Linked DNA regions of Coturnix japonica. The protein of the gene in region 3 interacts with the protein of the main gene of each other region in a pairwise test. Links are inferred from orthologs where the notes say so. Each region holds a gene or a part of one and is shown on either strand. Other genes may lie near its edges.

Region 1 (6,986 bases), on a different chromosome or scaffold from region 3:
TGTATGTTAGTTTTTATGAAATGATTTGGATCCAAACAAGAACCCACCTCTGGACTAAGAGTGCGGGAAGGAAGTTCATACTGCATAGAAACTGAACTGAAGATCATGCTAGAAGAAGTGCTACGCTGCAAAAAGCAACCCTGTGTGCAGACATGCCTTTCTCTGGAGGAAGGAACGGGCCCAAGATGGGGGGAATATATTTGGAGGTCTTTTTAGAGGTTTTGTGGGATGGATATAAAATCTGCTAAAATTAGGGTTAGTTTGTCTTATTACTTTGTGTTTTGGTTTGTATTCCATGTTTGTTGCTATGTACAGAAAAAAAGATACAGGATGCTATGAACTGTGCTTTTTCTATTAATAAAGAAGGGGGAGATGTGGGGGTAGATGTAACTGTGAGCAAGTCACTAAAGAGCTTATCAGACTCTTTGATAGATCCTATCACTGTGAAACCCTGGAAGACCAGAGAGTGAGACAAGAGACAAGCAGTGTCTGTTTGCATCTAAGGGTAGACAGGAGCTTCCATTGATGTGCATTGTTAATCCTGTTACTCTTAAGAGACTTTTCATCCTTTATCACTGTGGTTTGGGAGAAGCTGGACCAATTAACTGATTAGAAGAACTGTTAGAGGAACAGTTGAAGATCAATAACCAGGAAGAATCTAGAACAGACATCAGACCCTGTGAAATCCGGCCACTTCACTGGGTAAGTATTTGTTGGTTGTCAATAAAACTGCAGAAGGCATTAGAGGCTTGACCGATCTCTTGCATGTCTGTAATGGACATTGCTGAGACCTTCTGCAGTTTTTGGAGAGCCTGTCTGGATGTATGAAACTAGGAAGACTGGGATGGACTAGAACAAATAATTTCTTTGTAAATAACAGTGATGTAGAATATTAACATGCTCAATATGAAAAAGGCTCTCTGTGTTCAGGGAAAAACACAGTATGTGTTAGCTTTCTTTTAAATTATCTTTGTATATCTTTGTGTATCTTTGGAGCTTAAAATGTAGTCCTCAGGAGTAAATACTGCATCATGCGATACACTGGAAAAGACTTGAAATGCAACTACTAAAAGATCCTTTTAATGTTGGCATAACAAAAACTTTGTGCTGGCAAGTTCTACAGCTAATGTGTAAAGGCTACATTTTGCTGCTGGAAAATTACTAGAAAATAAAAGGCTAAACATAAAGAAAAAACAACAACAAAAAACTTTGCTGTTAACTGTCCTTGAGTCTCTAAGTGTGTGAGTGCGTGGAAATTAATTAGACACTAAGTGTGTGAGTGCGTGCCAGTTCGACACTATGTGTGTGAGTGCGTGGACAAAATCCGACACTGTGTGTGTGAGTGCGTGGCAATTAATTAGTCACCAGCTGTGTATGTATATTCGACACTATGTGTGTGAGTGCGTGAAAATCCGACACTATGTGTGTGAGTGCGTGGAAAATCCGACACTATGTGTGTGAGTGCGTGGGAAATTAATTAGTCATCAGCTGTGTATGTATATTCGACACTATGTGTGTGAGTGCGTGAAAATCTGACACTATGTGTGTGAGTGCGTGGAAATTAATTAGTCATCAGCTGTGTATGTATATTCGACACTATGTGTGTGAGTGCGTGAAATTCGACACTATGTGTGTGAGTGCGTGGAAATTAATTAGTCATCAGCTGTGTATGTATATTCGACACTATGTGTGTGAGTGCGTGATGGACACTATGTGTGTGAGTGCGTGGATATTAATTAGTCATCAGCTGTGTATGTATATTCGACACTATGTGTGTGAGTGCGTAAAAATCCGACACTCTGTGTGTGAGTGCGTGGAAAATCCGACACTATGTGTGTGAGTGCGTGAAAATCCGACACTATGTGTGTGAGTGCGTGACGGACACTATGTGTGTGAGTGCGTGGAAATTAATTAGTCACCAGCTGTGTATGTATATTCGACACTATGTGTGTGAGTGCGTGGACAAAATCCGACACTGTGTGTGTGAGTGCGTGGAAAATCTGACACTGTGTGTGTGAGTGCGTGGAAATTAATTACTCACCTTGTGTGTGCATGAAAATTAATAATCCAGCTCTATGTTCTGAGCTGTCACTGATGTTTATTACTTTATTAAATAGCTCATTCTAAAGAACAGTAAAAAATCTGAAAACGTGCATCTTTTGGTGTTCTTAAAAAAAAAAAAAAAAAAAAAAAAGAAAGAAAAAAAAAACCAAAAACACCACATTTATTCAAAACAAAGACTGCTATGAAAATTACCAAGTTTGGCCCCAGAAGATGACTCCTATCTTCTGCTCCCCACGAGAGGCACAGAGCAGTTTATAGATCATGTTCCTTTTTATCTCGCAAATTTTAACATTAGTATTTCCATTACAGCTTTTTTCACATTTTTTCTATAAACAAGATCAATATAAAAGTGCCCTGTTAGCAAACTTAAGAAACTACTGCTTTTCTGTACAGTAAATACAAATAGGACAATCCTGGATTTGCCTTCCATTTTACCATTTACCATAGCATCCCATTTACCAAAACATTGAAAGATTTCAATTAGTACAAAAAAATATAATCAAAGAGTAAATGTCTAAAAAGATTGCAGTATTTGAGTGAGTCCTAGTTAACAGACAATGAAAATGCTGTCGAGTTCTTAATCTGAAGCTCCGCCTGTACAGCGTCTGAGAGCTGAGCAGCGCCATGCTGTGTCCAAAGGCACTGGTTACTCACCTAATACGTTCACATCTTATTTCCTAAAGGTAATTTAACATCGAGCTGAATGAAAAACTGTTATGTTTGGTGTGTGTGCAAAAGTCAAAGCTGATTAACAAACCACAGCAGTGGGCACCTGCTCTTCACAAGGCAGGACTTCTCAGAATGCCAGTCGAACTTCAGCTAGACCTCAGTCTGGTGAGCGAGCTACGGGGCAACATCACACACTTGTTCCTTCCCCGCAGAAACAGAAATCCCTCTCTGGTTCTCTACAGAGAAGTTTAAGACTCCATGGAAAATCCTGGTTACCAGTAATGCTGGAATGGATGGACAGGAATTATTTTGTTGTGTAGCAGTACTGCTACTGACTCATCATTCTCATATCAAATACAAATGTCAACTTTAGTTTTCATCTCCCATTTTTCTAATCAGGCCCTTAATGAAGAATAAGACAAAACAGAGTGCTACAACTATAGGACTGGTCATTGCATCAACAAACATCTTACATAAACATAGGTTTGATGTAGATATTTCATCTCTGTGCCGTCACGTTCCATTTATGCACTCCAGAACAATCTGAGAGACAAAAGTGAGCATCTGTTAAACCACAAACAGTGTGTTGTGGTTTTCTGAGTTCTTAAACTTTTTTGAAGCCAGCCTCAGGTATGAAGCAGTGACAAGATCAATCTTGCACGACTGCTTTGCCTAAATTTTCTGCAACAGCATTTTGCACATGCCTCTTTCCAATGCTTTTATGTGCATTCCTGCAGAGGACACACAGATCACAGGAGCCAGGAAACAGAGACTGTGGGTACACAGGGATGAAGCCAGCGACATGAAGAGCAACAGGCAGACAGAGGAAAAAGCAAAAGGAGCCTAAAAGGAAAGAAAGGTAATGCTCTGGACAGAGGCCACAAGACTGACTTCTCCCAGGTTTACATTATACTAAGTATAGCAATTGCTTCCCTTGCTTTTTGAAATGAGAAGGATGGTGCCTGATGGGTTAGATGCTGCCTGTTTGTTACAGGCTAATATAGAAACCACTGTGTCACAGGCTACACTTAAATAAAAATCTTCAGTAGAAAAGTCTTGCATAAAGGAACAGGATATCTGTTAAGGTGAAGGAAAACAGCAAGTACTGCCAGACAGCACACAGTGGTATAGTTACTGAGCTCTTAGTAGACACTTCTGCATGGTAAACAGCATTTCCTTTGTAGAAAGGCCATCCTGCTGAGTAAACTAGCATCTTCAAAAGAGCAACAAGCTGTTCTGTGCAAAGCAGAGTGAACAAGGGTGGACTTCTGTTCACAGTGTGTCAGCTATCATCATTACTCAGAAGAGGCTTTTTTCCCTTTCCAGCTCTTCTGTCTTTGCTCCAGTTCAGCTTCAGTGAAGGCTGCCGGACCCCAGTTTGTGATGAGGTGTGGATTCTTGGAGCCTGGAAGACAGAGAGCATTGAAACAAACGTTTCTGACAGTCCCACCACTCCCACAGCAGCAGGACAGACTTGGGATGGTTTGGTCAGCATTCAATGGCTGGGAGCTGTCTCAAAAGGCAGCGCAAGGAACCACCTCACTGCAGCAGGAGGGACACTGGGGACACAGCAAAGGTGCTTCAAGGGAGAGGTTCCCAGCTAAACATCCAGTAAGTGGTGAAGGGATCTTTCCTTTGTGCTTTTGGCAGAACACATTTAGGCTGACTAACACTCATACGTGCCACCTTCCGGTTGATCCTTGCTTTGTTTAAATATATATAGTAACACAATGCAATACTATAATAATGTAAATATTAGAGACAGAATGATATACTGCAGAATGTTGTATCTTGACATCAGTACAATATTATGATACAAAGTAGCAATATAATGTAACAGTAATTGCATCATGTCACAACATATGCTATATTATGAAATAACACTAAAAAGAAATAGTTTTAGCAAAGCCACTAGAGGGGGTAAAGATGTGAAAAGGTTCTGATGTTTAATTTTGCACAGGTTTAACACTCCAGGTAGGTGGATTTCATAACGCCCCTTTTGAGAGCAAGAGCCTTTATCTACTGCTAAGTTAATAATACTCATTTATTTCAAGTAAAACCAAATCCTCAGGGAGCAGCAGGTCTCATCAGTCGAGATCCTTCAGTACTTACACTGCACACAGGCAACAAGTTTTAAGTCCTGTATTGATGGTATTTTTTGTAATACACTGTATGTAGTGCAGAGTTGCAACTTCTCTTTCTTCTGAACCATGTAGGTTCTGAATGCAGAACAATCCTACCACTCAGACGGAAGATCCTACTTTGAGCAGCAGTTCTGACAGTGTAGTGTTTATTGGCTGTAGAGAAGCCAGTAAGTTACAAGGAAAGGTGGCCTTAAATACACAGCTGGCTGATGCACATACATGAGTACTCTGCCTTTGTGATTTTCATGTTAATTACTTACTTACCTGGCTCTATTAGTCGAATCAGTCCCTCATGGTGAGCTACTTTGTCTTTCCAGCTCCTGGTGTTATTAGCTGCCGTTTCCAACTTCTTTTTAACCTCCTGAAATAAAATATAGCCCCATTTAGACTGGAAAATAACTGTATTGTATTTATACACAAATAAAACACTTTAAAATACAACAACAACAGAGTGCTGCTGCTAAGCCACAAGCAAGAAAGAGATTCTTCTGCATAAACAGGGCTTTCAGTCAGTTCTAAATCGAATGATCAGTTATTTCTAGAATAATGTCAACTCCTCCACTCCACCACTTCAGTTTCACTCTCTGTTTTTTAATTCTCACATAGTCAGCCATTGGTGCAGAGCAGTAAATGATGCTGAATACACAAAAAAGCTGAGTATTATCTGAAAGCAATGCTCACAATCAGTTACATGCAGCTCCCACCCAGTAAGTCATAAAATGGCCAGAAATATTCCATCTTGGAATCACTGCAGTATGTCCTGTGCCAGTCCAGGCTGCTCCTTAGCTCCTGTGAAGCACAGGCTAACTCCAGGAACACGGTGACAGCATCAATACACTCCCGACTAAACAGAAATCTCACTGTTTTGTTTTCCTGACCTAAACAGTCGGGGTCAACACCTCTCCAGCCCTACAGAGCACACAGGAATCCAATATCTGTACTCAAGTGATTCTGAGAAATACTTCACATTTCTTCCACAAGTTCAAGCTGCTGGCCTGCACACTCAGAGGAGCAGAGAACATGCCTGGCATTTGGGAGACCAGGCACTGCTCCACATTAAAGGACCTAGACTCATTCCTTGCCATCAATTCCAGTGCTTAAGTACTTCTAAAGGAACAAGAGCTTACAGGTGCACATCAGGATTTCATATGTAGAAGACACTGCCCCAAATCATCAAGACACTGCAAGAGTAACTAATTTAGAAGCATCCCATTAAGATAGCAATGGGACTGCATATAGTCTACAGCAGCAGACAGGTACATGAAGTATTTTAGGCTATAGCTGAGCTGGCTTGAGTAGGAATTAGGATAAAAGAATAAAGGAGCGGTATATTTGAAACCTGTCCTCTTCTTCAAATGTAGCGGTCTGTGGCAAAAATAAAAATAAAGTCACTTAACTACCCTCCCTGTCCTTATAAATCTCGTACTTTACTAATCCTTTAACAGGTGTGACACTGGTGAACTTCAAATTCAGTTCAAATACTGCATACCTGGCAAACAGGAGAGGCTGATAAACAGAACAACTCACCTCATATTGTTCAAGGGCCTCTTTCCTTTCCAGTTCAAGCTGTTCCAATTGCTGCATAGCAACCTGAAGGGCCTGTTCCTTTATCATTCTCTGGTTTTCTAGCTCCTGCTTCTCAGCTTCTGTCATCTGAATGGTCTGTTGCTGCTGCAAGTGCCATTTTTCCAGTTCAGCTCTCTTTGCTGACTCCTCTTCCAGTAACCTGCAATGGGGATTATGGCGTCAGCTGCACTTCACAGTAAGCTGTAGCCATTACATAGCATACAGAGGAGAGCCAAGTTAATTATTTTCTTTCTTGGAAATTTTAATTAAAAATAAAGTCAAATATTGGGAAGCAGAGAAAAAGTCACTGCTGCTTGGCTTGTCTTCAGTGTGGCATTGAAAGTCAGGCCAGCAGCAGCAGGCTCACTGCTACAGGGGCTGCTCAGAAAATTCAGTCAGTGATGCAAACGCAAAACATTAAAAACCAGAGAAGAAACAAACATGATTTGTCTTAACTGTCTGGAGAGGAGTAACTCCATGAGGAAACAAAGCACAGAAAGCAAAGCCCATACCTGCAGCAGATTTAACCCTTTGACATCAGTT
Region 2 (7,872 bases), on a different chromosome or scaffold from region 3:
CTTGGAACCAAAAAGAGGGGAATTTATTAACTAAAATAACAAGCTTTGGTATTTTAAATCAGTATGTGATCACAGAAGTGTATGTGAAATTTGTTCAAATATAATGGGTGTTTTCTTCGCTTTAATTTTGAATACTGAAAATCCAAGTGTTGAGTTACTGATATGGTGTGATAGACATAGGCTGAAAGATAAAAGTGTAAACAGAATCTGCTTGGATATATAATAGAAAGAAACACATACACAGTGTTGTATGGTTTTTGAACACTGCTCACTGCCTTTTAAGCTTGACACCATTAAATCATTTTTATTTTTATTTTTTTCTAAACTTAATTCCACTGCCTGATTCCTTTCCTTGGATCTGCAAGGTCTTGCTTGAGTTAATAATGATGATTGATTATCTGGCTTTGATTTCTTTGCCATCCTATTCTTTCCTTCACCCAACAAGGTGACTCTTTTAAAGCTGTTAGTGATGATGAACCATTCTGTGAAGATTTTAATTAGATACTGAAGCGTACATTTAGGAACAACATGAGCAACATATTTTGTTTATCCCTTTTGTTATCCTACAGACTTCATTAGTCATTGGCATTGCTTTATTTAGTGCAGGAAAGTTAATACTAGCCTCCTTGTAGAAACACTTAACTAAGATAAGACCTAAGTGTCTTGGCTTTCAATGTAAGCAAAGTTATTTGTATATCTTGCTAATGACTTTGTCGTAAGAGTTCGTGTTTTTTGATGCTGAGAAAACCTGAGAGACATACTTTACAGATAATAGCTGAGGAACTGTCTGAAAGAATATTATATTAACAGTGATCTTGCATATCAGCTGATTCATGTTTAGAAGAGTGAGAAAATGCAAACTGACTTCTGTCCCTCCAGGCCTTCTTAGACCTGTTTGTTTTGCGTTTGTACTGGCTGCTATGCTAACCTGGAGCAGTTCTCTGCTTCATGCCCTTTACTTTATGGTTACTGCAGTTCTTCAGGCAAAATACTGATGTAACAGTTGAAACTTAACAAATATTGTTGCAGAGCTGCTTCAGAAGATCAGTGATAGTGAGTTTTATTATTATTCCATCTCAGTCTGCTTTGTACTTCTTCAAGGAAAGCAATAATTTCAATTAGTAGTTAGAACAAGTTCTTTCCAGGGATTAAACATCCATAGCTCTAATAGGGGAAGAGTTTGCACTGATTTTCATCAAAAACAAGTTTGGTTTGGAGTGTTCTGTTTCTTATTCATGAATGCAAACGCTTATAAAATACAGTGACCATGCTGTGAAGAGCTGTGGTGGTTGCTGGTTTAAGTAAAGCTGAGTGCGCCATTAGTACTGATGATACATTCAGAACATAAGCTCTCCAGCTTACTTTCTTTTATTTTGTCTTTTTCTTTGATGTAAGTCTACAATATGCTTTTTTTTCTAGCTTTAGGATCTGGTGACATGTGAATGCAAAAACTAAGAAATTCAGTGTGACAGTGAGAAGAATGAATCATTATTTTTTGAAAAAGGACATGTAATCTGTGGCTGGATGTGTAACTGATATAGAATTAATTGGTTCATCATTTTGTTTGTGCTTTTGTAAGAACTAAAACCCACCCAGCTTAGATCAAGAGGATTTCTATTCCATTGCTCGCTAACAGCATGAGAGAAAAATCAGGAATGCCAACATACTGCACGTTTTCTCCACTACTGTTAGTATGTTTTATTCTTTTGTTGTAAAACGATGAAAGCTGAAGTAGGTGTAAGAACTAAAGTGATCTGTTTCTCGTTAGAGCTGATCTTCGGCTTCTTGGTGTGAGCACTGGTGCAGCACTACTTTTGGCAGGGGTGCTGTCAAAGTCAAGTCAGCACAATTTCATACAGGTCATTCAGAGGGGAATCTAGTCTTGTTAGGAGAAATCAATTCCTAAATATACTTAAAATCATAATGAATGGACAGACTTCTAGTGTTGGAACACTAGCAATCCACTGCTTCAGGAAATAAATGAAAGAAATATACCTGGCTGTATATAAAGTCTTTTTCAGTGTGTCTATGAGTTAGAGTTTCTGTAACTCGTCTAGCTGAATAGGTACAAAACAGCGGACAACTGGGGAGTGCTCTTAGGCAGCTCTAGGCACAGTGTGTTTGGATATATGGATGTATCTAACACAGAAAGAGCATTGTGCTCAGAATGAATGTCAGTTTTGTTCCCTTTTCAATAACCACACTCCTCTGCATTCAGTTCATTACTCAGATACCTACCAGGCAACACAGAGTGGTGAGTGTGATGAGTGTGAGCACAGGGGAAATGAAAAGAGACTGGATTCAAGAACAAAGAATGCAAGGGAAGGACATGCAAAATTATGACAAGCAGGTGTCTGCCATGGCTTTCATTCACTGGGACAGATTATCTTTGTCCCATTGCTTTGTTTGGTATAGAAAATGTTAACGAGAATTACAGGGTTTGATTATGTGGATTTTTCTAGATTATATTTATGTAAAAGCCAATAATCAAGTACTTATTTAATGAGTACCAGGAATAGGTGTGACAAATTGTTTATCTTATTTATACCACTACAGCCCAATTAAAGGACAGAATAACTGTTACTAGTCTTTACTGCCAAAGATCTCTGGTCTGGGTTAGGATCTTCTGTAATAATAGTCAAGATAGATGTCTGTGCTGCTTGATGGTGAGCTTTCCAACTTCTGAGTGCACAAGTAAGTCAAGACACTGAAATTAACCTCCAGCAATAATAGTTAAAGTACCACTTTTAAATTTGTATTTTACAAGAAGAGACAAGTCAGTTTTTCTCGGGCTACAAGTAGCTTCATTAATGCCAATGCACCTTGTTTAGCAGGTATCAGACTTACTGAGGTTCTTGTCATTTAAGGCATTCGCTTCTAATCTATGCTTCCTATTAAGTTCTCATCTCCTAAATTTAGTGATTTAGAAACACAAACCCCACTGACTCCATCAGAACTGGGTTGATATTCATTAACATTAATTTGGGCTACAATGCCTGACCCTGATGACAGTTTTGAAAAATCTCTCATGGAATATCGTTATTTAATTTGATCTATGGAAATGTATTTTGTGTTTATAACTTAATAGCTTTCATTTAACAAATGTCAAACCTTGGCTGCTGTTAGTCTGGAACATGGAGTGCCCTCTTTGTCACGAACTAAGACCACTAATGAAGTGAGGAATAAAGCCTGAATTAGTTCAGCCGTTAGAAGCTCCGATCCCCTACCTGTTGATATTTCCTTCAGACAAACATCCTTTCCACAAAGGATTGAAGTCAGGTATAAAAATATTCTCTGTAGACAAGTACTTTGCTAAGGTTTCCTTTTGTAAGTAATACATCCCTTTTTTATTGTCTGCAAATCATGCCAAATAAAAAAGGCAATTTCCTTTGCAACTACAAAAATCATTTCCCAGTGGCATTTTGCAAGCATTCACCTAGCTGGGATGCTCTTTATCCATCTTCCTTTTAAAATGTCAAGCAGATATGAGTCTTCTAAGTAGCATTCTTTCCTATTTTGATTAATTTTGCATAGTGTTTCCCAGAGGAATTGATACTTACATAAACCTGAGTTCTGATTCTCTTCTGACTAAGACTTCCCGAAGTCTCTGGATCTTTGCCATCTCTAGCTCTATTTCCTCAGGCATCATTGTTGTTTCAGCCATTGAAATGATGTCAAGTTGATCTGCATGTGAAAGAAGAGGAAAAAAAAAATAAATGAAGCTGGTCAAACTATCTTAACAGGGTTTTTTAGGAATGCAAATTTAACCACAGAGTTATCTGGCTATGGATTAATTAATGAAACTAGTGGAGACTCTTCTAGTTGAGTGCTACGTTCACTGGTTTCTTTAGTGTTTTGCTTATTACTTTCAGTGTAACCATTTTGAAGAATTCCTAAACCAAGTGACCTTTATTTCTAGTCAGAATAACCCTAGAGAATCCTAACCCAGTGTGTTAACTTCAGCTTTAGTTCCTTAGTGGGAATAACTACAAACTTCGAAAGAATAGCCTTAGCTACAAAGCTCATTCAGAGCAATTACTTGCAAGTATGAAGAGTCCCGTCTTAGCCCAAGTGCAAGCCCTGAAAACTGATGAAGGTTTCCCATCTTCAATTCTTGAAACACTTTATGCCATTCCATTATGTCAACATGATGTACAGCACAGACTGGAGAATAGCTAAAGATGTGACTGGAAATGATGTAGGGCTTATTCCTGCAAGGAGGTGAGTGTTCCTCCAGAGAGCACTGATTAATTTCAAACAAGATTTGAGAGACTAAGACTAACACATAGAGTGCTTGTGTATTTTGGCAGATGTGTTCCTGAAAGGAGGCCTGTTCCAGCACTACAAAAAAGGTTAAAAAAGAAAAAGGAGAGGATGAAATAATTATGCAGAATACAGGAGCCAAAAAGTATCTGGAATTAAAAAAAAACTGCTCAACTAATTATGAGATGAATTCCCAAGTCCCTCATGACAGACTAAGCTAAGAAGAATTTCCAACAGAAACACAGGGTAGAAATAAAACTACAAAATCCCACCTAATAAAATAGTCAGAAAATACACCTCTCTGCATCAACTTAGTTTACAAAGACCTGTTCTCCTAGCATGGAACGAATCAATGCAATTCTAGAAGATAGAAAAATAAACACTTTGGGCTTAACTTTATCTTTTTTTTTTCTCGAGTGGATTGGTGGTAAATTCAAAAATGTAAGAAATCACTAATTTTTTTAAGAGAACAGAATATTGAGAGGGGGAAAAGTGACTATTGCTCTCCTACAGCAACAGGCATTTGATAGTAGTAGTTCTTAAAAACTCATGTTGCAGAACTTGTTGGTAGGGTAAGGCTATTTATTGCCTCTAGAAGATGGTTTTTCTTATCGGAAATCATTGTGTTTGTTGGCGTATATTTACCTGAGGTGTAGCCTGGATGGTTTAAGAAGTTTTGTTACAGCTCTGTCAGTGACAAAGCAAAGTCACATGTAAAGAGTAAGGCTGCTGAGTGTTTTCAAAATCCACCTACCTAGCAGGTGGTCAGAACTGCAATTCAATACTCAACAGATGTAGGTTCTTTTGACTGCTGTTCGATAAAACATTGATCCTTTAAGCATAGTTTTGCCTCTTGTTGCTTTTCAGGGCTGTGGAGTTATTTTAACTGTTTGTAGCAAAATTCGTTTGCTCAAAACTATATTAAGCAGGAGTTAGGAAGCTACTATGAATTAAAGCCAATAATATTGGTAACTAGAAACTGAGCCACAAATATATTGCATGCGTATATGTTTTAAAATTAATTCTCAAGAGCTCAGAAAAAAAAAGGGAAAAAAAATAACAAAAAGGAGCTTCTTTATTTCCACTCTACAACTCTAGTTCTGAGTGACCCACTATTACCCTTTGGTAATATACTGAAATCACAGTGTGATTTCAGTAGTTCAGGAGGGGAATCATGAGAAACCTTATGCCATCTGTGCCTAGAGTCAACGCTAGAATTATTGTGACAAGCACAAGTCTAGTCTGACCCCTTGCAGTACAGTCACAGATTCTCCTTCACATCCTACTCAACGTGTGTTTGAACTAGAGAGAATGTTCTTGAAAGGTATCCAAAATTATGTAGTGGTATCAAAAGAATCCAAACTATAAGCAAGGTGCCACAGATTTAAAAGTAGAGGGAAATAAATATAGAAACTGTAAGATCTCAGTTCACAACCTGTCTGCAAACTTAGGGATGCAACTAGAACAATACAGAGTATTCCAGTTTATCTCCACAGCAGTACGTGTCCCATAAGCATACTGTAAAGAAATTCTCATAGAAATTTCAGACTGGAAGGAAAAATAAGAAGAATTGAATTAAAGCAACTTTGAGGCAAAAAACAACAAATAGGACAGTTGAAACAAGAATAAATGTGGAGGTGAGGTTGCAGAGCATGGTGGTACTGTGGTTCTGGAAGAGATTTTTATGAGCCAATTCTAGAGGGATACACGTGGTCTTCCAAGAAGGAACTGAAGGATAAAGTCCATGCTTTATGCATCTATATCTTTATCTATACGCTGTTAAGGAACCATACGATTTTGCATCAGATTTTCAGCTTTCCTAAAGTTCCATTCCTAAAAGTTAAGAGTAAATGAGCTCCTTTGATAGCTGCCCATTTACCTTACTCTCTTATAGAGAGTCCATAGGTCTCATAAACTCAACAGAACTGCAGTATGACATGCACTTTGGCTCTCGCTGAAGACTATGTATTTTTAAGACAGGCTTTGAGGGGAAGATGCACAATTAGAATGCAGTACTTCTTGGAGTTTTTGAAACAGTAGAGCATAAGTGCGGGGATACTATGGAAATATAAGCCACTAAAGAGGCCACAGGTCAGGATTCCCCCTATATACCTTAATTGTTTTGATTCTCAAAAATCACCAACCTGTTTGTGCCTGAATTTCTCCTCTAGTATTGAAGATAACTGGCCCATCCTGAAGGATGATCATTGTTTATAAAATGTTTTGTGCTCCTATAATGAAATCTCTTGGAAAAGACTAAGTTAGCATTATTGGGCTTCAAGTAAGGCTCTAGCTCTGCCCTGGTGATGAATGACACCTTTAGTGCTCTGAGGCATGGTTCCGTACGGTTTCATGCACAAGTCTCATACCTTTTCATAACAGAAAGGAGAAATGTTTCATTTTATTTAAAACAGACATGTCACTGTCAACTATTTTTTTTAAAGCATATATTGTTAATACAGAAATCAAAGCTCAGACTGGTAATGAGCCAGAATTCATAAAGCAAAAGAGAAAGCAACAAGGATTAGTCACAGCTAGTGACAGGATTGAATTACTCCATGCTGTACAATCCCCGGGATAATTTCCAGTGACAAAGAAACAAGTAAAATATTACTACTCTATGCACAAAAAGATATTAACATGAAAATAATTACTGTATAGAAATAAGATTATTGTGCTATTACATATAATGAGATAGAGTGGAGAGGTGAAACACAAGCATGTTTGCTTCGATTTCAGTGTAGACTGGCATAGTTAAAATGGTTATTAACTTAATGATCACGCTGTACCCTCAGTGTGCCAACAACAAATGGAACATTAGCCACCTGTGATGAAAAGCAACAAAAAAGTGAAATACCTATTAAACTGGTAAATACAAAGAAAACTTTAAGGGAAGCTTGGAGCAGCAGAAGGAGAAATGGGAGAATGCACTGTACCAAGTAATAGTTTTAGAACAATTGGTAAGAAATGCTGTGCAGAAATGTAATTATCAGCAAGAATCCTGCTGCTGTGACTTGATGCAAGCATACTGTAGTCCACTGAGAAGCTCATTGTACTCTACAACCATTAGCTTGTTTAATTCTATTAATTCTAATTTAGGAGGTTTATTGTCATCATCTCTTTTGTTGTTTTCTTTTAAATAACAAAACAAAAAAACCACCAGATGCATGGAGAAAGTTTTAATAACACCAAACCTGTGCCTCTGGAACCCTGAACTATGTCATTGTTATTCTGGTTGTATTGAGCAGCAATTAGATCTCTATTCTGTGAACACCTATAGCAGCACACAGACAATCTGCAGTCCAGAGGCAGTAGGAGTGACGAGTTGCTTGTGAATACGCAGCAGGTTTGTAGCAGAGCTAATTCAAGGTCTGATGGATCACCGTGTCTCTTAAGGATGTTGTTCATCCTTTTTCATACTTGTGAATTTGTTGTGGTTGGAAACAGAAAATCGCTGAGCCTTGAATAATCACTTCAGTTATTTAGTAACAGAGGAGCCATTCCAGCAAAAGTAAGGGTAACTATCCAGCTACCCTGCCACTTCTAAAATATTTAACAGGGATGAGCTATCTTAAATGAGACACTGTGTTTCATCAGCCTGTGACTTCT
Region 3 (7,872 bases):
ACAGGACTCTTCATTACATGCATCTTATCTCTATTGATTTCTGTCACATGCTTCCCTCATCTTACTCTTCCCAGATGACCAGTGCACTCCTAGCTCTAGTGCTATCTGATTTCCACAAGGTCTTTGTTACAGTATTAAAATCCTATGGGAGTTAGTGAACAGATGCCCAGCTTATGGACACCAGTTCCTGGCAGTTCAGCAGTGCTTAGCTTGTGTTCTGCCTGGCTTTGGGCCAGCCATCCCACCTTTGCTGCAGAGGTGCAAGGTGTGCTGGCTGCCTCAGTGGATGCCTCAACAGTTCCTCTGTGCTGCAGTGCAATCCTGCCTTGGCCTCTGTGCTTGATGCAGTCTGATGTTGGTGAGCCCAGGGCATCCAATTCAGCCCTTGTGTTGTGTCACACTAGAAATGTGTTTGGTCCTGTTCACTACTATTTGCAACATAGCTAAACATTTTCCCATCAAGTCTGAGGTGGCTGTTGGAGTTCAGTTTTGTTTTTTTCTCCATTTCTAGTGTCATTTCAACCTCTGCTTTCCTTTGCCATCTATCCTGTGACATGCTTCCTCTCCCCCCCTCTTTCACCTTCTCATCTTCTCCCTTCTAGGGGCCTGCCCTTTCACATCTCCTCTTGCAGATCCAGGTCACCTGATTTGCTCTTATTTTTTCTTCCCTAGCTCTGTTGTGAAAGCTGCTACCCAGGCCTCTGTGAGTGGCCTGTGAGCTCTTGCATTTCAGAGGGCTCTGGTAAGCAGCTGTGAAAGTGTTGCTGACAATGTGTGACAGTTTAGGAAAGACACAGTGGGAGCAAAGCTTTTTCTACCTTCCTGTTCATGTATTATGCCAGGAGAAGAAAGCTAAATAGAAATAGGTGCTAAAGGAGATAAGAGATTCCGTGGTGGGGGGACTGGTGGTAGAGACAGTCACCTGCAGAGAAATGCTGTTGTGTCCACAGGGGACTGAGAGCAGCAAGTGGAGGAGCTATCCATGCCTTCACAGCCTCAGCTCAGATGTGGTGTTTGACCACTGAAACATTCATTGGCACTTTGGAAAGCTTAGAGTTTGTTTATTCATCTTTACTCATATATTTGGTTTTACAGATTTTTTGATTCATTTTGCGTTGTTTTTTTTTTTTTAAGCTTTTATTTTACCTTTACTGCTCAACCTTTAAAATATATTTAATTTTATTTTATTTTTCAGACACCTCTTATTGACTCTCACATCCCACATCGTCCCTCTAAAACCATTACACAGGTAATAGGACACAGGTGTGCTGTAAAGACAGGCTGCTAGATAAACGGAATCAGCTGACCTCATGCCTTTCTTAATGTGCTAAGTATGAGAGACTTAATAATTTACACAATATATTGCATTGCTCTGCATAACTAAGCATCTGTACGAGGACTTCTAATTTAGGAGGAAGAGAACTTGTATTTTGTTTTGCAGAGGGCAGTACAATGACTGTGGAAAGTTTTAAATGTGTGTGTGTTGGTCCCTTTTTTTCTCCATGATCACCAAGGTTCCTTCAGAAAAGATCCTCAGAGCTGGAAAGATTTTGCGGAATACAATTCTGTCCCGAGCCCCTCACATGATAAGAGATCGTAAATATCATCTGAAGACTTACAGGTGTGTGAGCCTGTTTTTATGCCTGCCATCCTCTGATTTATTATTTAAGCCTTACCGTACTCTCAGGTCTCAAAAGGTCTAAAATTATCCAGTGATGCTATTTGAGCCTGTATGTTATGAGTCTTTAATGAGCCTGGTAAATCCATTCTGAAGTAATTTGACTGGAAATTGAGTCCACAGTTCTGAACAGATCATTCACTTAAAAAAAAATGCTCCCAAAGTTAATGGCATAGTTAGCTGGGAGATTCTGTGCAAAATGTAGATTCTGTTTACTTTGTATGTCGGTGGGATGTAATATGAAAGCTTAATTAGATTGTTACTGTCCTGATTGCTCCAACGAAGCTGCTAAGTGTGAAACCTGAAAATTCACCTAGTGAGAATCGTTCCTTATGTAGATTTTCCGTCCTATTCAGCCACCTTCTTCAGTGTTATCGTCAGGCTTTCTTTTCTTCCTGCTGGTGGCAGCACCGTCCCGTTGAAGTGGAACAGCAATAGCACTTTCAGACAGCAATCTGACTTCAGGGAGTCAGGCTCTATCTACTGTTGGCTTAGGAAATAATCAATTCGTTTTAGCATCTAAGGTTTGAATCAAATACCTTATGCATTATTTGGTGAATATTTAAATAAAAATTGGTTTAAAACCTCTGAGCATGTATTTTTCTAAATAGCAAATCAATATGTTGCTGATTTGCTTTTAAAGTAAGGGCATTGATTTTCCCAATTATTGTCCAAAGTATATCTAATATTATATGAGGTATTTGGAGCTTGTGTGGTGATCTGTCATGATGTGGCATTGGCTCATTGTTTTAGAACAATAAAAGAGCAAGCATGATATTTGAAGACCAATGCTGGTCCAAACAGCTGCAGCATTTTATCTTGTACAAAAATGGGGAAAACTCCTACACTGTTATCCCTGGGCTTTTTAAATATGGAATTTCAAACATTAGATTGTATCCAGGTGATACAAGCAGGTGTACCAGGTACAAGTGTATCAAAATGGGGTGTTAATTGCAAGAGTGTTATTTAAGCTAAATTACAATAGTTTCAGTAATATCTTCTTAGTTGGTCTCAAAAAGTGAGACACGAACTGTGGAACCAGGCCATTCTATGTGTCATCAGTTACAGATTTGCTCATTTTTGATCACTTTGCACATTTACTTCTGTTCTGCTGTGTTCGGATGTGTTAAGACAAATGTCCTTTGGAGAAACACCAATTTTACATGGTGACCACCCTTCCCCCCTCCTCCCCACCCCCTCATTTTTTTTTCCTTCTCCCCCCAACTCCACTTTGGGTACTCTGCAGAATTTGAGACCTGCTGTTGTTCACCTCCAGGTCAGTCAGGAGCTGCAAAATGACCAGAACCTGGCATGAAAGAGCCTCATGTGCACTGTAGACCTGCAAACCAGTGCCCTCAAGTACAGTCTAGCTAGAGAGAGCTTGGTTACAAACGGAGGAAAATGCACATAATGCTCACTCTCCCTATAAAGGCTGTTCTCATAGTCAGAGCTATTATAATGTTAAATGTTTTCATGCAGAATGCTGAAAAATTTGAGGCTTTCACATGACAGATTTTCTCTGAAATTTGGGTTGAAGGTTGCTGCATCAATGCTGTGGGTTTTGACCAGCTGTTACAGGTTCACTCTGATCCTCTGAATGTTGCATTTCCCTAAGCATTTGCTGTTCTTTGAAGCAGTTTCTCTCAAAACATAGGTGCCTTCACTGGTATTTCAGACATATAGGCAGAGACCATGTAATTGTCTTCTACAATGATATCTGACTAAAACAGAGTTTGAGATATCACTGCTGTTAGCAGATACTGTTTGTGATCTCTCTATAAGCAACCTTTTCATTCCTTTCTGTTCATTTGTGCTTCAGGCAATGCTGTGTGGGGACAGAACTTGTTGACTGGATGATGCAGCAAAGCACTTGTGTCCACTCACGAAGTCAGGCTGTTGGCATGTGGCAAGTATTGCTGGAAGAAGGCGTTCTTAACCATGGTAAGTTAAAGACATTCAGAGCCTTGACTAAAATTTGATGAGTGTGTCCCATCAGTGTCTCTGTGGATTTCTTTGGTGAAAAATAAAAGGATTGTGAGCCCAAATGAAAAACTACAAATAAACCTTTTCAGAAGCTTGATTTGTACACAATATACAGATGATAATAATGGAATCTTGCTACCAGCATACCTTTATCATTTATGAAAATACTGAAAAGTCAGTGAAATTTCAATGTAAGTCTAGTTAGACTTATTATTACACTGATTTGTGATTATATTCCAGAAGTTGGATATCATCTGAGCCAAAACTAAGATATATGTTGCCGTACATAAAATTGATCTTCACTTCCAAATGCTGCAAAATTTTTACTTGAATGTAAGCTTTTCTGTTCGCTCATATCCATAATTTTTGGATGATTTTCAGTGGTTTTTGAATGGTTCCCAAATTCAGCACTCCAGATATCCCAGTGCAGAGATCTGGGGTTTTATGTTAGTTTTCTGATTGCATTTTATGTTGCCTCATGGGTTCCACTTGGCAAGATTTACTAGGTAACAGAATGTTATAGCCCTCCAAAATGCAGCTTTCTAAAGCAGTATTCATATCTAAAGCTGTGCATGTACAGTTTTATGAAGTTCAGAACAGCCACACTATTACAGTATACTTCCAGTCATTGTCTGTTGTGCTTTCCACATCCCAGGAAGAACTTTCCTTTCTGAGAAGACAGATTATTTCCACCATTTCCTTTCATAAAAGGCTGTAGCTTACATTCCTGCCAAATACTGTTTTGAATTCCTAGGACCAAGCTGCTCCAACTACATCACACTATCCAGCTCAATACACCATTATGAGTTGCTTGGAAGACCAGGGATTTGTCTTTTGCTGTGTCACAGCCTCTCTTCAGCAGTCTTCCAAGAGAAGACTTAACATTACACTCTCCACTAAGATACAAGTCAATGGTCTTCACTCTGGTATTACATGTTGTTGACACATTACCAGAACATGATTTTAGCTGCTTCTTGGTTTGTTACTTTTCTGCTCTGTCTGAAACAGCCGGGGTAAGGTGTTCATGCTGGAGTACAACTCTTAATATATTCTGTTGTTTCCAGTGGACCAGGAGCACCACTTTCAGGACAAATACTTATTTTATCGATTTTTGGATGATGAGCGTGAAGATGCCCCTTTGCCAACAGAGGAAGAGAAAAAGGAGTGTGATGAGGAGCTACAGGACACTATGCTGCTTCTGTCTCAGATCGGGCCGGATGCACATATGAGGATGATTCTCAGAAAACCGTAAGCAAATTAGTAAATTAATGGTTCAAATGTGTCCTCCTTGTTACATTGGAAGGCTACGTATATTACCAGGCATCCTTTAGCTAGTTATTTCAGTGCAAGTTTACTCAGCCTCTTACATTTGTTAGTCAACACTAAGTAACTTCCAGTACTTATTCATAAATTGGAACATATACCTGAAATAGTAATCAAAAGCTATGAATGTTATCATACCTTGTAGAAAATGCAGCGCATGAGTTTTTATTTCATTTCTGAGTATCACTAGCAGTAAGGTACAGGTTCCATTAACACTTTCAGTGCTGGTATGCCGTTCAGTTAACTGCACCACTTTCAGTTGTTACCAGTGCTTGGATGGTAAGTTTGTTAGCACAGCAGATGCCTTTCAATTAGTCATCAGTGGGAGACCTTAATTAATTTCATCTTTGGTAGAACTTTATTGAATTGAGAGAATCTGGACATTGCCTGTTATACTTTGCTAGCAAGGTATGAAATATAGCTCTTTGGGTTTGTTTATCTATTTTCATTGTGGTTTTTTTTTCTGTTTGTTTTGTTTTTGTTTTCTGTTTTTTGATTTTTTTATGTAAATATTTCCTATACCTAGGCCAAAGAGGATGTCTGTCTAACCTTTTCATAGCTATCAGATTATATCTTCTCAGTCATCATTTGGCTAACCACCCTTTCAGCAGTACATTCTGGGTTTTTTTTCCCACAGGCAGCTTTATAGTGACTTCAAAGCAAGCAATATAATCTCTGTTTGACCTTCCATTACAAGCAATCTCTTTATTATGCAGGTAGTGTTTAGGAGCTACTGAAGACATACTTTACTGCTAATTAAGTGCGCTGAGAATAATGATTTATTTAAGGTCATTCTCACTAATGATTTACTTGTAAGGGTCAGATCAAGGAAGGTAAGTACATAGAGCTAAATCCTACTCCTTTTGAGGCCAACGGCAAAGTTTGTCTTTGTTACAGGAGTGCCTTGGGCCATGGCTACTGTGTGAGAGAAGTTTTAGGCTAAAAATATCTAGAATCCAATACAACTGCTTATTCTTGTTCTGGTTCTATCTGTATCCTTTCTCTGCTCTATTCTTGTCTCAGTGTTGTCTATTTAGATCATAAGCTTATTTGCGCAGTGGCTCAGCATTCCCTGGGAATACAGGTTAGGTGGCACTTATCCGAAACCTTGATGAAGGTGCTGAATTTCAAAAAGTTCAACCAGATGTTTGTGCTCACAGAAGTTGTTTAACACTACTGTGCCAGAATAGCTTCTCTTTCCTCCATTTGGTAGAAGTCTAGTCCAGGACAATCCCTGTCACACAAAACACACAGGTAAACCAGACTGGGAGCATGGTATATATGTAAACTATTATAGTATCAACAAAGTGAAGTATTTTCTTCTCACAAAAATGTCCTGTGCTTTCCAGTGAGGAGTAGAAGGCAGCTGTGAGTAGTAGTTTCATCAGGAGACTATGAGCAGCATCCTGTACGCTATGACCTTGCATCTCTGCACCGTCTCCTTTGCCTCTGTCAGTCTGCAGGCTAGATCTTAGAGAACTGCCCCCTTAGTTTGTGTGCTTTCAGCCACCTACTACATTCTCTTTGCATTGTGACTTTCTGATCACCCAGTGTAAGTTTACGCTGGCAAGATCAGTGCTGATTATTGTCCACACTCCTTGCAGAGCTGAAAGGTTGATGTGATGCTGTGAAAAGTATCGCTTTCCCCCCTGTGTTGTTACTTGCACAGCATCACCTGAAAGAATATTCATAGGAGATTTTTCATGCAATATAGTGAGGGGAATTGGGTTTTCCCAAGACTGACATTCTCTGACATTTTTCCCTATTTCTGTCCCTGGAAGTGCTTATTTTGCTGCACTTTGCTCACGGGAACAAGTTTGTACTCTCAGGCTCCATATTAACTACTCTTCTGGTATTCAGTTTACATATGTTATGACCCTGCTAGTTGAGAATCATCTGTGCTGAGGTGCATCAAAGCTGCTGAAATCTCTGTGAATCCTCAAAGTCCTGCTAATTTTGACTAGGTGCCATTACAGCTGCCAGAAGTTCAAGGAGTGGTCAGGCCCTGAGAGATGCTAGCTGCAGCTGACCTGAGCAGGGCCACAGTTTTTAAACCAACACAGCTGCCTTTTATAGCACTCACCATTTCCAGAGAGGTTGCAGAACTTTGATAATTACCCTGAAAGAAATAAGACAATATTCTTTGATGAGAAGATAGCTTTGAGAATTTGATTGTATAATGAAGCTGTTGCTTTGAAAGGTACTTTCTATTGTTCAAAATCTGAAAATCTCCAGTAAAAAGTGTCACTTGTTTTGACAGCTGACTTAAAAAATTCTCTGTTTATTACATTAACTGCAGCATTTTAACTGTCAGACTGTGAAAGAATGTTCTATAGTTTAAAAAACAGAATAGAGCTCAGGGAAATTTTTTTTGGCAGGCTCTTGTTGCACTTGAGGGATTTTTTTTCCCCCTTTTTTTTGAAACACATACAGTGTGAATGTGAAAACAGCTTTTTGTGAAGCAGCAAACACTGCTCTCTGTTCCCCTGAGGAAGGAGCAGACCTTGTGCAAGTCATTGTAGAATTAACACAGCTCTTCCTCACAAGCTTTTCAATCCTCCACTGTGAAAATACATGCTAACAATGTATTTTTAGTTGATTTTAATAACATTCAGGCGTTGCTAACCTCATGGTTGCTCCTAATTAAATAGCATACTGTCATACAAAACTGAACGTGGCAATAACAGAAGTCTTTAAGGAGAAGGTGTTGTTCATAAGAAAATGATATTTAGCTAAGATGGATTATGTGCTGTGTTTTAATACAATAGTCTACAGTAAATTAACAGTGTGGCAGAAACTGTAATTCTCTGTCATACATTCTTGGTGACTTCACTCAGCAAATTGTATTCTGAAGTACAAAGATTGTGATTCCACATTTGATGAGTAAG

Evidence for each region.
Region 1: the proteins of RAPGEF4 (region 3) and SWAP70 interact in a two-hybrid assay, tested with the Homo sapiens proteins (2 studies listed by BioGRID and IntAct). The link is inferred for Coturnix japonica from reciprocal best matches to the Homo sapiens genes RAPGEF4 and SWAP70.
Region 2: the proteins of RAPGEF4 (region 3) and BMERB1 interact in binary tests that used the Homo sapiens proteins (3 or more experiments, as listed by UniProt). The link is inferred for Coturnix japonica from reciprocal best matches to the Homo sapiens genes RAPGEF4 and BMERB1.

What each region holds. Positions count from the first base shown.
Region 1 is NC_029520.1:13,498,296-13,505,281, forward strand, and holds the end of SWAP70 (switch-associated protein 70), read right to left. Parts: intron 6,604-6,986; coding exon 6,405-6,603; intron 5,239-6,404; coding exon 5,142-5,238; intron 4,139-5,141; coding exon 4,029-4,138; 3' UTR 2,079-4,028; downstream 1-2,078.
Region 2 is NC_029529.1:7,342,127-7,349,998, reverse strand, and holds part of BMERB1 (bMERB domain-containing protein 1), read right to left. Parts: intron 3,685-7,872; coding exon 3,561-3,684; intron 1-3,560.
Region 3 is NC_029522.1:15,617,963-15,625,834, reverse strand, and holds part of RAPGEF4 (rap guanine nucleotide exchange factor 4), read left to right. Parts: intron 1-1,195; coding exon 1,196-1,249; intron 1,250-1,514; coding exon 1,515-1,621; intron 1,622-3,497; coding exon 3,498-3,619; intron 3,620-4,725; coding exon 4,726-4,909; intron 4,910-7,872.